2 linked regions of the Oryzias latipes genome follow. The protein of the gene in region 1 purifies or fractionates together with the protein of each later gene. This does not show direct contact. Links are inferred from orthologs where the notes say so. Each region holds a gene or a part of one and is shown on either strand. Other genes may lie near its edges.

What was found. The genes of interacting proteins can lie anywhere in the genome.
Region 2: the proteins of kiaa0556 (region 1) and ick purify together in Homo sapiens (affinity purification with mass spectrometry; 3 studies listed by BioGRID and IntAct, with this or other methods). This does not show direct contact. The link is inferred for Oryzias latipes from reciprocal best matches to the Homo sapiens genes KATNIP and CILK1.

Annotation. Positions count from the first base shown.
Region 1 is NC_019877.2:9,517,510-9,523,827, forward strand, and holds the start of kiaa0556 (protein KIAA0556 homolog), read right to left. Parts: upstream 3,684-6,318; 5' UTR 3,537-3,683; intron 3,037-3,536; 5' UTR 2,945-3,036; coding exon 2,939-2,944; intron 2,702-2,938; exon of another isoform or gene 2,672-2,701; intron 1,693-2,671; coding exon 1,604-1,692; intron 1,327-1,603; coding exon 1,163-1,326; intron 798-1,162; coding exon 685-797; intron 591-684; coding exon 489-590; intron 336-488; coding exon 183-335; intron 29-182; coding exon 1-28. Other genes in the region: dcun1d3 (DCN1-like protein 3), read right to left, coding at 5,147-5,684. UniProt on the Homo sapiens protein: May influence the stability of microtubules (MT), possibly through interaction with the MT-severing katanin complex.
Region 2 is NC_019873.2:24,032,014-24,038,306, reverse strand, and holds the start of ick (serine/threonine-protein kinase ICK), read left to right. Parts: upstream 1-2,263; 5' UTR 2,264-2,419; intron 2,420-3,846; exon of another isoform or gene 3,847-3,849; 5' UTR 3,850-3,992; coding exon 3,993-4,093; exon of another isoform or gene 4,094-4,097; intron 4,098-4,254; coding exon 4,255-4,309; intron 4,310-5,312; coding exon 5,313-5,434; intron 5,435-5,523; coding exon 5,524-5,603; intron 5,604-5,676; coding exon 5,677-5,809; intron 5,810-5,887; coding exon 5,888-6,059; intron 6,060-6,293.

The DNA of each region.
Region 1 (6,318 bases):
TGCTAACCTCCAGGTTCCGACGCAAAACCTAGTTCAGACAGGCAAAAACGCTTCAATTCCTGGAGTCATCAGTCACGCAAATATGCAGACATTGACAATGTTATAATTTGTGATGACTTATATCTACATTTCCTATGTGATAAGAAAATTCCCCACATATTTGTGTGTAATATTCCGTTTACCTTCACTTCCTCAAGGTTCAGGAGCACCTTCTCAGCATGCTCCTGGCTTGCTTGGCCTCCCTGGCTCTCGGGCTTGGAGCGTGAAACCTTGCAGGGGTCCCTCTGGCAGCAGGGACTATGAGGGGAGCGAGGACTTGAGAGAGGACTAGAGCTCTGTGCAGAATCACAGTCGTCAGAAGAAAAAAAAAAATGGGAAAAACAAGAGAAGATAGAGAGATGCTGAGTGGTTGAGACAGCTACATCTTACACACAATGCCTTCCCTAAAACACCCACACACGCCGTCTTAGTGGAAATCGTCACCCTACCTCCATGTCTACACTTTCATAGGGATCAAAATCATCAGAGTAGCGCGTCTCTGGGGTTAATTTCAAAGTTGGGCCATCCTCTGTTTGTATTTCAACTGAATTCTTAAGACAGGAAAGGGGAGATTATGTAAATAAAAAACATATTGGTTTTTTTTTTCTTTGTTAAATCATAGAATGTAATATTAGAGGGCTGTACCTGCACCCATTCTTTCCTCTGAACCTTTTCTGGGGCGGTTTGGCTCCTCTTACCGTTTGTCTGATCTGGAAAGCGGCTAGCTCCGGCTAGCTGGTGGGCGCTTCTACACACATCTGCAGATGAGTCAGAGCACAGAAAGGAGCATGAGCAGCATACAGCAGACTGCTGCCTCAGGGGAGAAAGACACATGCAGATGGTGCACAGCACATGCAAAATGACAAAAAAAAGCAGGCAAATAAATAATTGCTGCAAGCTATAATTGTCACTTCCATTTACTCACAATGACTGAGCACAGAAGCAGAGCATGCAAACCACAAGCTGAGGAAGAGGTGGTCTTTAATTGCTGCATTGAATTTGTTTCATATGACAGAACTATGCAGCTTGATTCAATTGTAGCTAACAAGCCTTTAAAATGTCATCCATAAGTTAAAAAAAGAGGATGTTTGATATGAAATTGATTTTTTTAAACACAGCATACCAGCCGCATGTGCATGCAGAGAGGAGTCAGGCTTTTTTGGGGGGCTTTTGGGCTGCCTTTTGTTACATTCAGCATTGGCTCCGTTAAGATATATTGAAAATCCTTGCTCAAGACGTTCCAACTCGATCTCTTTGGGGCCTTTTACTCTGAGGCGCTTTAAGATTCTGAAAACCAAAGAAAACTGTTCAGTACCTAAAAAGAAGAAGTAAAATAAAAAATCACAGGGTTTAAGTCAAATATTTTAATAGATAATAAGCCATTTAAACTTCCTTAAAAAAACAAAACAAAGTCCATAAACTTCACAGCTATAAAAATGTATTTTTCAAAGCCAAAACTCAAACTAATCAGTGTAGCTGCTGGACACCACTGAAAGTCAAACAAGATCATCTCCTCTGTGAAATCCAATCTGGCCATCTGGGTCCGCCTGTGCTCACACCTCACCTGTTTTTGTGTTGGAGGGAGATTAAATATTCATCCAGAGTGTCATCTCCAGCAAAGGCAGGTTTCTCCGTTTGGCACTTCTTAGTCTTCTGCCGGAACATATGCATAAAACAAACCACACACGATCAAGAGTCATAAAAACTCACAGCTGATGGCACAAAAAAGGCGCTACTTTTTTTACACCAGTATTCACAAAAAACCTAATTATAGGCATTGAAACATTTATGCATGCAACTTTGCTCTCTCAGACTGGTTTAAAAATAGAATCAAGCTTTATTGTAGAAAAACGTTAAAACATATCACTAATAGTGAAATGTTCAGAAAGGTAAGTAAAAGCTGAATTAAAAGCTTAAAGTCTTAGAGCATCTGTGTCAAACTCAAGGCCCACAGGAAAATTGTGGCCCGCCGTGTCATTTAATGTGGCCCGCAAGAGCATAAAAGTTTTTAATTTCTTAAAATAATTATTTTTTTTTGTTGATTACATATTATTTATGTGTAGCTACTGTCTTTTGTGTGTATGCAGACAAATTGTTGTCATCAAACCATCAGTTGGATGCAAGGCTGTATGCAGCCTTTTTTTGTAAAATGTTACATGTGTAATACATGTTCTTTTTAGCTCAGTTTTGTTATTTTTCTTTATTCACTTGGACAGTCTGATCCTTCATTAATGGAGTTATGTGTGTTTTAATAAGTGAACAAAATTTAAAAGGATTTATGCTAGAGTAACAAGCAAACATATGTTTTCTATGCAACTGTAATTGTCACTTTAATAAGTTGACACCCTTGTCTTAGAGGCAAATAGAGACACAAATATGAATCTTTGCGGCAATAAACCGTACAGAAATGACCAAAAAAAATGAAATAAAAAATGCAAATTCAATAATATGTAAATAATAAATAATGATACTATAAACATGGTACAGACAAGAAAAAGCACCAGCATGATATACTGGGAAACAGAGCAGAATGAACGTGGAAGAAGCACTGGCAGTGTCAGAACAGTCACAAGTCATGCCAGTTCCATCACCATGAGAAATCATGCAACAGAAGAAAATAGGAGGGTCTTACTTAGGATCTACAAGTCAAAATCTACAGCTTCTGTCAGGGAGAGAAGGAAGGCAATGAATATTTTAAGGAGGGAAATAGAAAATACTTGTTAGTGAAAAATAACATCTGTAGGGGGGGGGGGGGGGGGTCGTTCTTGGCTACCGATTCCAGAGGTTTTCTTGATCGTAAAGCGGGGGGGTTGAGAAAAAAGTGAGTTGACAGTTGATTCGAATAAAGAAAACATGTTAGCGACAGAGAAAATGAGTGGTTACATAAAACTCATCTCACCTCCATTGTGTGCTGCGGATGATACCGACCTAAAGAAACTATCCCATAATCTGCAGGAAAGCGAACGTTTTTAAGGCATCTTTACAACTCGTTCATCGCTGAAAGGGGGAAATTCCAAGGTTAACATTCACATCTGTCCTGACAAGAACGTACCTCATGTTCGCAACAACAACATCCTCGAAGAATCTGAACAAAACGACCCCGTTAGTCTTTGTGTCTGCTTTTCTCGTTGGTAACAATTTTATTTATTATAATCCCACATTTCGTTTGTGTAACAGTCGGGGAGTTGTCGTCCGGTAATGCTTACCATTTCTGTTCAACATTAACAAGTTACGGTTAGATGATTAATGTTCCTTTTCTGCTTGCAATACTGCTTAAAGTTAAACACATAAATGATCTTCATAGGAATCCACAACATTAGCAAGCTTCTAAATCAAGCTAGCGCCGATGCTAATAACAAACGGAAAGCTAGTGAGTTAGCATGTGACAAGTTGTTAACAAATACAATAATTTAAAAAGTAAATACAGCCTTCAAAGTCTTTTGAATATTTTACCCTCCCCCTCCCGAAATCCTTTGTAAATGTAGCGAAATACTCACTTTATGTAAAGACGCTATTGTTTTTAGGGGGGTCATTACGACTGGAAATACACATTTATTTTCCCTATTTTCTCATGTGTCTCGTGTATTGTTGGTTGGTAACCAGGATAGCTGCCCACCAATGAGAGTGGCTCATTGTTAGACACGCCCTCTTCCCGGTCTCCGATTTGGCTTTGCATGTGACGTCACCACTCCATGTCTTTAGATTCCACCAATAAAAACCTTTCTAGGGCAGAAAAGGGTAAAAATACATACCTGCTTTTATTTGTTTTTATATTTCATTATAAACTGAAATGAACATGCTTGGTATACAAACAAAAAAATAAGAAAAGAAAAAAATGTAAACCAAATAAACCTGGTAATACCCAACCTCAAACTGGACCCTTATCACAGTCTGTTGATAACCAGCAGGTTTAATTAACACTCGTTTCAAAGTAGCACTTTATGTGCACAGTTTGGAAAAGTCTCAAGATTTTAAATGTGTTTAACATCAATCTCCGCATAGCATTCAGAGTACAGCAAGTTAACAAGTCATTGGTTTCTGTGCAATTACAGCCATTATTTATGCAATCAAAATAACTTCAAAAGTTGCATATTTTTGTGTTGCAGTTTAAAGATGCAAAAACTCAAACTCTTGGAGTACAAAAGGACCTTTGTGAGACTTCCAACTATTCTAAATATACTGCAAGTTTATCCATTTACTTTAGAGTATTCATACTTGGATATACTTGCAATATATGTCTCCCAGATGATATCTATGAAGCAACTGACATGGGCCAGTGTCATTGACTTTCTGTTGCATCCCTTTAATTCCCTCTTGAAAATTGGTGGACATCAACAGAATTGAGGTCAACTGGAAGCAAAGCCACTGCTTAAAACAAGCTCTGCTTCTCAAGCCCAATAAGCACTCAAAACCACTCCACGCAAGAGATGGTGCGTCAGTTACCGTGGAAACCATACCAAGATTTAAATATTCCCAAAAAAACACAATGTAATTCAATCGCCCACTGAGATCAATGGTTTTTTGCATGTATTAGTAAGTCGCCGTGAAGCCAATCAGAGTAAATGAACCCACATTGCACTGGAAATCAAAACTAATATCTGACAATATAGGTCCAATCAACACACAATACTTTCTTAGATATTACAATTTTCATGTCTGATAAGAAATTATTTGCAGACAGGCTGCTAAAATGTCCCTTCTTTATTAGAAACCAAATCATTATACAAAACACATTAGGTTAAATCTGTCAAATTTGGGTAAAAGGCTTATGGCTCCGTTATGACCACTTTAAAAACCACGTTTTTATTTAGCAAATTCTGCTGGTTTAAGGTGTGTATGTGTTGGTATTAAAATAGACCACAAGTTCAATGACTAAAAACATATGGAAGGAAGGGGGAAACATAAAATAACTTAAATAGAAGTGCTTAAAACAGTTTTAGAGCCCTTAGAACATAACACAAGAGAAAAGCGGAAATCCAATCCCAATATTAACGGAGAGCTAAAAAAAGCGAATGAAATGGTAATACTCATTTATCCAATGATTCACAGATGTACGTTTCACTTAAAAGTATCCTTCTCTCTCTTGCAAATGTTGATTATTTTCTGGTCAGTGCCCCCCCCATGTCTGTGACCCACGACCCCCCTCTGTTTCAAGTCCATCTGTGGTGGAAGAAGCCTCTGTCGTAGAACATTTTTCTTCTTCCTGTTTTGCAAACAGTGCCTGGTCTCTTTTTCTGCGCTCCAACTCCCACTCTACGAACGTGTCGAAGAGGCTGGGCCAGGCCTCGTCCTCGCTGTAGTTATTCAGGTCAGGCCCTATAGCCTGTGTGAAATTGAGGAACATGTTCCACGTGTCCCTTGAGATGCCCCGAATTCCAGAGGGGTTCTCAGCAAGGAAGTCCAGCCAGTGTTCCAGGATCTCTGGCTTGTTTTGTGTGAAAACCAGCCGCCACAAGGCAATGGCGATGTCACGCTGCAGAGAGCGCTGGCCCTCGTCAGCGTCCAAGCCGAACTGGAAGGTGAAGCGGTAAAGGTCTTTGAAGTTCTCCTCACCCTGGGCCTCCACCAACATGCAGGGGAAGCGTGAGCAGATGCCCTCTATACTGTCCGCCTTTATGGCCTTGCACCCCTCAACAAACTCCTTCCTGGAAACAAAAGAAAATAAGACAAATATTAGACATAAAAAGAGTATTTGGGCAGTAGTTGGAGACAGAGTTCACGACACGCGAGTTCCTGCATTGTAATGAGAAAAATGTGTCAATTTAAGTGGTATAAACAAAATTGAAAAGAAAAAAAAAAGTAATTTAGATCAACATTTTAAATTGAGTTGGATAGACATAAAAAATTAAGTTGTATAAACTTAATTTAATTACGTGTTACCAATTTAAGTGAATTAATTAAGTTGGATCAGCTTCCTTCTTTTTAGAGTGTATGATGAACACGACACTAAAGAAGAACATCTTTACAGAAAGACTACTGGCCAAAAAAAAACCTGCAAAAAATAAGTTTAAGACATTATGACTTCATATACACATTACACCGATTTTAAGATCGCTGCATTGGCTCCCTGTGCAATTCAGGATTGATTTTAAAGTTCTTTTATTGGTTTACAAATGTTTTTATGGTCTCGGGCCTTCATATTTATCTGACATGATTTTAAAGTATGAGCCCCCGCGGACCCTGAGGTCCTCTGATACAGGCCTTTTGGTTATCCCAAAAGTTAGAACAAAAACGTACAGCGAGGCTTCATTCAGTTTTTACGGACCTCGCCTGTGGAAC
Region 2 (6,293 bases), on another chromosome or scaffold:
CAAATTAATGTGTAAATATGTGGGAATTGCATCAGTGTTTATTTTGTTCTGGACACCACTGGAAACACAAATTCATATGATGGTTTCTCAGATCGCAGCAGCATTTCCGCCTTCAGCGATCATCGGGAGCTTCGCGCTCCGCTATGCGAAGGCAGCTGGCGGTCCAAAGAACAAAAGCGTGTCCGCGGTGCGTCAGGAGGAGGACCGCAGAAGAAGGACATGCTGTTATGTAGTCCTGAGAAGCTGTGGAAACTCATCAGAAGTTCACAACCAACTCAAAGCCGTCTTCTCTGCCGCTAACACAGTCTGCTCCTGGTGCGTGTGTGTGTGTCAGCGGCCGTACACACGGAGAAAGCAGTGACGTCATCGCCCCGCCTCCCCTCTGCTAATGCTTTTAAGAAATGAATATTGCTACAAGTTTCCCAGGGTGGATGTTAAAATACAAATGCAATCCCCTCTTTGCATTTTCGTTTTAATTATGACACAGAATAAGCAGTTTTAAGTATAAAATGAAAAAGCATTTTGAAATATTGCTTTTTCATTTGAATTTTGAGTCATTTGATGCACTTACATTTTGAAAATTAAAAAGCATTTCTGTTAATCCATTTTAATTGTCAAATTAGACATTTCTAAATGAATTTTGCTACACATTTACCGTGGACCTTTTTTAAAATGAAATGTCAAATACCATTTTCTTTATCATTTTAATTAAGTGACAGAAAAAGCTGGGTTGAAGTATAAAATGATAAAGCACTTTGGTATATTGCTTTTTCTTTTAAATTTTGAGTCAAAAAATGCAGCTTCATTTTGAAAATTAAAAAGCATTTCTATTAATCTATTTTAAACATCAAATTAAACATTTCTAAATCAATTATGCTACACATTTACCAGAGAACGTCTTGAAAATGAAATGTCAAATACCATTTTCATTTTAATTTTAATTAAGTGACAGAATAAGCTGTGTTGAGGAAGGAAAAGAAAAAGCATTTTGGTGGATTGCTTTTTCATTTTATTTTTGAGTCAAAAAATGCAGCTTCATTTTGAAAATGAAAAAGCATTTCTGGTTTTGACTTTGCTTTTTATTAATGCTACAGAATCGCTTCCATAGCTTCGCCCCAGAGAGGGCTTATCAAACTCTTGGAGATCAAATTTATTGTTAATAATAATAACAATAATAGTAATAATAATTATAATAAAATCATATAAAAATCCCTAAATAAAATCAACACCTGAAAACCTACCAAATAAAAGTATGCATTTATTTTAACCTCTCGGGAAATATGTTTTCTTTAGAACAAAAAAATGAAGAATCAGTGTCAAGATTGTGACAAAATATTTGACAGTTTTCTACAATCATGGTATTAAGATCCAGCAATAATACTTTCTTTGAATCTAAAATTATTATTTACAGAAATGCAGATTAGTTTGGTTGTATCAAACCAAGATTTTAGAAAAAAAATAGAAAAATGTAGAAAAATAAATATAACCAGAAACTACTAAAATTACACAGGCTTATAAGTAAGAAACGTTTTCTTCACAGATAGCTTTTTTTCTCCCTGAAATAAAGACAAATTGCCCAAAAACACTGGTCAAAACAGCATTAATGACAATATTTAAAACATAAAAAATATTTAAAAAAAAACATAATTACACAATCACGCCGGCATAGAAACTTTAGTTTATGTCAGTCTGCCCCAGGAACAGTAGCTACCATCACCAAGTATCAATGAGGAGTGAATGAATAATGGTCACAGTGTAAGCGCCTTGAGCGTCTGGAAAAGCGCAGATAAATCCAATCCATTATGATTATTATTATTTGTAGTGCTATTTTCCTCTTGACCTTTTAAATAAAAGTTTGAACCAAATATGTTTAACCAAAGAAGTATGCCAAGGAAAAAAAAAGTGTGCCAAGGAAAGAGGAACATTGCGTCACTTCCGCTATTGTTTTACGAAGCGAAACATTCTTTAATGCTACTATTACTACGTATTTAATACGCTTTACATGTTACCAAAAATTTAAAGTAATTTTCTGTTTGAGTTTGCACATTTGTACATTAGTCAGGGTTTTGATTCCGTAAAGAATAAGCTTGGCTGCATGCATGCTCAATAATTATGCAGTCTACATAAATCAAAGCAACAAGCCAATAAATCCGTTCGAAAAACATATATAATTTAGTAAGATTATTCGTGACACGCAAAGGCGACACAAACAACATTTCTTTCTTTCCACCTAAGCCATGCAGTGATTTGTCGAAATCCCAAGTTCCCTGTAACATCGCGAGATTTGACGAGGGCCTGGCTGGAAAATATTTATGTTGTTTTCGGGATTTTCTGTTCATCTCGTCTTTTTACGCCGTCGCTTTAGTAAACACTGCAGTTGAGTGGTCGGCTTGTCTAATGTCGGTTTAAGGCGGGAATGGTGAGAATGTTTGACTTTTAAATGCATTATTTTCTAACACAAGTGGGAAAATCCCACTGTAGCAATTGTTTCCTGTGTTTTTTTTGTCAGCAGCTGGGCCTTTAAAGAAATTGGCAACAAAATGAGCGCACAGCGTTATTATTCCCACATCTACTACCATCAGTGGCAGAAAAAAAACCCTGCACAGGATTCGGTTGTAGTAATGAACCCAGTCAAGCGGAACCGTTCAGGTTAACATTTATCTAAACGCCCAGACGGTAGCTGCTCATTATGAGATGCATAAGCTAAACTGTGAACACAGCGATTTGGGAGACTTTTAAAGATGCTAAGGACGATATAAGCGCACTTTAAGAAATAATCATTATATCTAGATTAAAGTATTTTAAATGATTTTCTGCGTTTTCCCATTAAATGGATATTTGTTTGTTATTCCCGAGAGAGAAACAGATATGATGACAACGTGCACTGTGGAATAAATATACATTTATTATTATTATTATTATTATTATTATTATTATTATCTAACTATTATATGCTGATTATGTACGTGTGTAGTAGATTCAACAGGGACTCCTATGCAGATTGAGGGGGAAAAAACGGATTGACTCCACAAAATCATTGAGGATTTTTGCTGTTAATGACCCATATGGAAGCAGTCTTTTTCTAACATAAACACTATAATTTGCTTCCACCATCCACCAACAGGTGGATGCTAAGCACCTCTAAAGAAGTCATCCGATATTTGAGGGAAAAGAAGCAGGGAAAACATCTCATTTCTACCCAGCAAACATGTTTTTATTCACATTTGCTGTTATCTTTGAGGAATTATTTTCGGTCGTCTTGTGTTGTACTGGGGGGAAGGTCCTCACTACATACTTAGTTTGATGCTCTGATATGTTTTCAAATTTTAAATGTCTCTGGGCTTCTTTATTTAGCATCGGGGTCTGCAGCCACATGGGGCTCTTTCGTCCCTCCATTGTGGCTCTTGGCTTTCAATGATAATCTACATAGATAATGTTTTGTTTTAGTTAAGTCATTCTTTGTGATTAGGTCAGATGTGTCAGTTTTCTGAAATGATGGTAAAAAGTTGAATCTGCAGTCAGAGTGGTTTATTATTAGAATAAGCTTAAAGCACATATTCTTTGACTTTGAGTGTATTTTATTTTGAAAAGACTGATGTGCTGCAAAAGTCAAATGTAAAATTGTCAGGAAAAAAAATCACTTTATCACTATATTTCTTTATCACTACATGTTGATTATTGTAAATATTTGATGGCTTAATGGTCATAAATAAATTATTATTTATTTATTTTTTAAACAGTGAGGTAGTAGACTTTAGGCTCTCGTTGGGAAAATGCTCCTGTTGGCCCGCCGATTACAATCTCATCTAACATCCGTTTTTGTCATTTTTCCTTGTAACCTATCAGCAGGAAGGAGTCAAATCCATGGCACCATGACTCCTGCAGCTCTGCCTCCAGGTTTCTGCTGCTGTCACAGGAAAATCTGGTTGCATTCGGCAGCAGCAGGAGAGTTTTAAACTGCTTTCAAAGGATAATGTGGACGGTTGAGCAAAATGAATAGATACACAAACATAAGACAGCTCGGAGACGGCACCTACGGCTCAGTCATTCTGGGCCGCAGTTTGGAGTCCGGAGAACTAGTTGCCATAAAAAAGTGAGTTTTCATTTAAAAAATGCTCTGCTAAAGAGTACCTCATAATTATGAACAAATACTTTTAAGAGTTTTACATATTTTGAAAGTATTTATCAATTAAAAAGCTAAAACGCTTGGTAATATTTGGTTGTTTTCTGAAATCTAAAACTGATTTTTTTTAGAATGAAAAGAAAGTTCTACTCTTGGGAAGAATGCATGAACCTTCGGGAAGTAAAGGTAAGTTTAAATGTCTAACACTGTTTTACATAATAAAAAGCATAATCATTTTGGAAATAACAGCCAAAAAATTACAGCCTCTTGATTTAAAATTTAGAGCTTCAGTGATAATTTTCACTATAGGGTTAATGGTTTACAAAATTTTCATCTAAAAAGACTGTTAAAGCTTAAATTTTAGGGGGAAAAAAAACTATTTTCATGTTTATAAATTTGGCAACTGAAAATTCCTGAAACCTGTGATCCCTCTGACAACCAGCAGGGGGCGACTCTTCCACTTAAAGAAAACCATTTTGCACTGGAGAAAGGAATGAAAACATGGATTTCAGTCAATATATTTAATTATTACATTATTTTTTAAAGATTTATATTGCTATAAATCATGGTTTAATTCACTGCCACCAATAATGATATATATTTTTGGCAGGTGCTACCCAGCATTTAACTCCGTATTGATAGGATACAAAAAGATACCAACATGATTGATGAACAGATGGCCTTGATCCTGATTATATTTGCTATAGAGTTATTGTCTGACTGATTATTAATAGGTTGTGCTTAGATCATGTACCTTGTAGTCTAGCTGTGGAGTAATCCCAACTTTTCTTTCTTTTTGCACCAGTGTAGTATGCTTATAGTGTAAATTTCGTCACACCAGCTCTCAGGGCAGTAGGTGATTTTTGTATGCAGATGCTTCTTACCTTTTGTTACCCCTTAAAGTTTAAACTTAACATCTACAATGAATGATAGCCTGCTCCACATCCTTTTAAATGCTTGCCGCTGATTTTTTTTTTTAACGAAGCTCACATAAATGGAGCATGAGTAAACCTGCATTATTCCAATGCATGGGAATACTTTACATAGATCCTGTAAAATATTCTTAAAAGTGTTTTTAGCTTTTTACATTTTAAGCAAAGGTGATCTTCTGCTCCACTGACCTGCAGTTTTTATCCAGCATGGTTAGACTTATACATGATCACGTCTCTTACAAAAACCTGTTTTACAGTCCCTGAAGAAACTCAACCACGCTAATGTCATCAAACTCAAGGAGGTGATTCGCGAAAACGACCACTTGTACTTCATATTTGAGTACATGAAAGAAAATCTGTATCAGCTGATGAAAGACAGGTGTGTGCAAGTTTCTTTGGGCTCATACTTTCTATTAGCACATTGAACAACAGTGCTAGAGATTCCTAACTGAATGTTTTATGCTGCAGGACTCGGTTGTTTCCCGAATCTGCTGTAAGAAATATTATGTTTCAGATCCTGCAGGGGCTAGCATTCATCCATAAACACGGTGAGTTTGTTTTTTTGCCCATTTAGACTTCCTCCAGCTGAGCTGTAAAGCTCATGAGCCGTGTCTCTATTAGGGTTTTTCCACAGAGACATGAAACCAGAGAACCTTTTATGCATGGGCCCAGAGCTGGTGAAAATAGCGGACTTTGGGCTTGCTCGTGAAATCAGATCTCGGCCTCCATACACTGACTACGTCTCCACTAGATGGTGAGTCTCTGTTTGTTCACACACACTTACTGAAATGAAAGAAGCTCAGACGCTCTGGTTGTCCTTGTTTTGGATCAGGTACAGAGCTCCAGAGGTGCTCCTCAGATCCACATCCTACAGTTCACCCATAGATCAGTGGGCAGTGGGCTGCATCATGGCCGAGCTTTACACCCTCAGACCTCTGTTCCCAGGATCCAGCGAGGTGGACACCATATTCAAGATATGCCAAGTACTGGGTACACCAAAGAAGGTATCTCTGCTGTGTCAAAGACCCAGTCTGATCATTTTTTTGATCTATTTTTAAAGCGTTCCCAGTGCTCTTTTAATCATGATTGTGCAGCTGTTGTTTTTTTTTTTTGCCAAAATCAAAACACCTGTGTCGTTTTCTTGGACATAGTTCCTGTAGAGCGGCAGGAGTTCATTAGAAATTTGTCCCTTAGTTTTGGACAGGATCACTGGCGGGGCCCTATTAATGAGAGCTCTC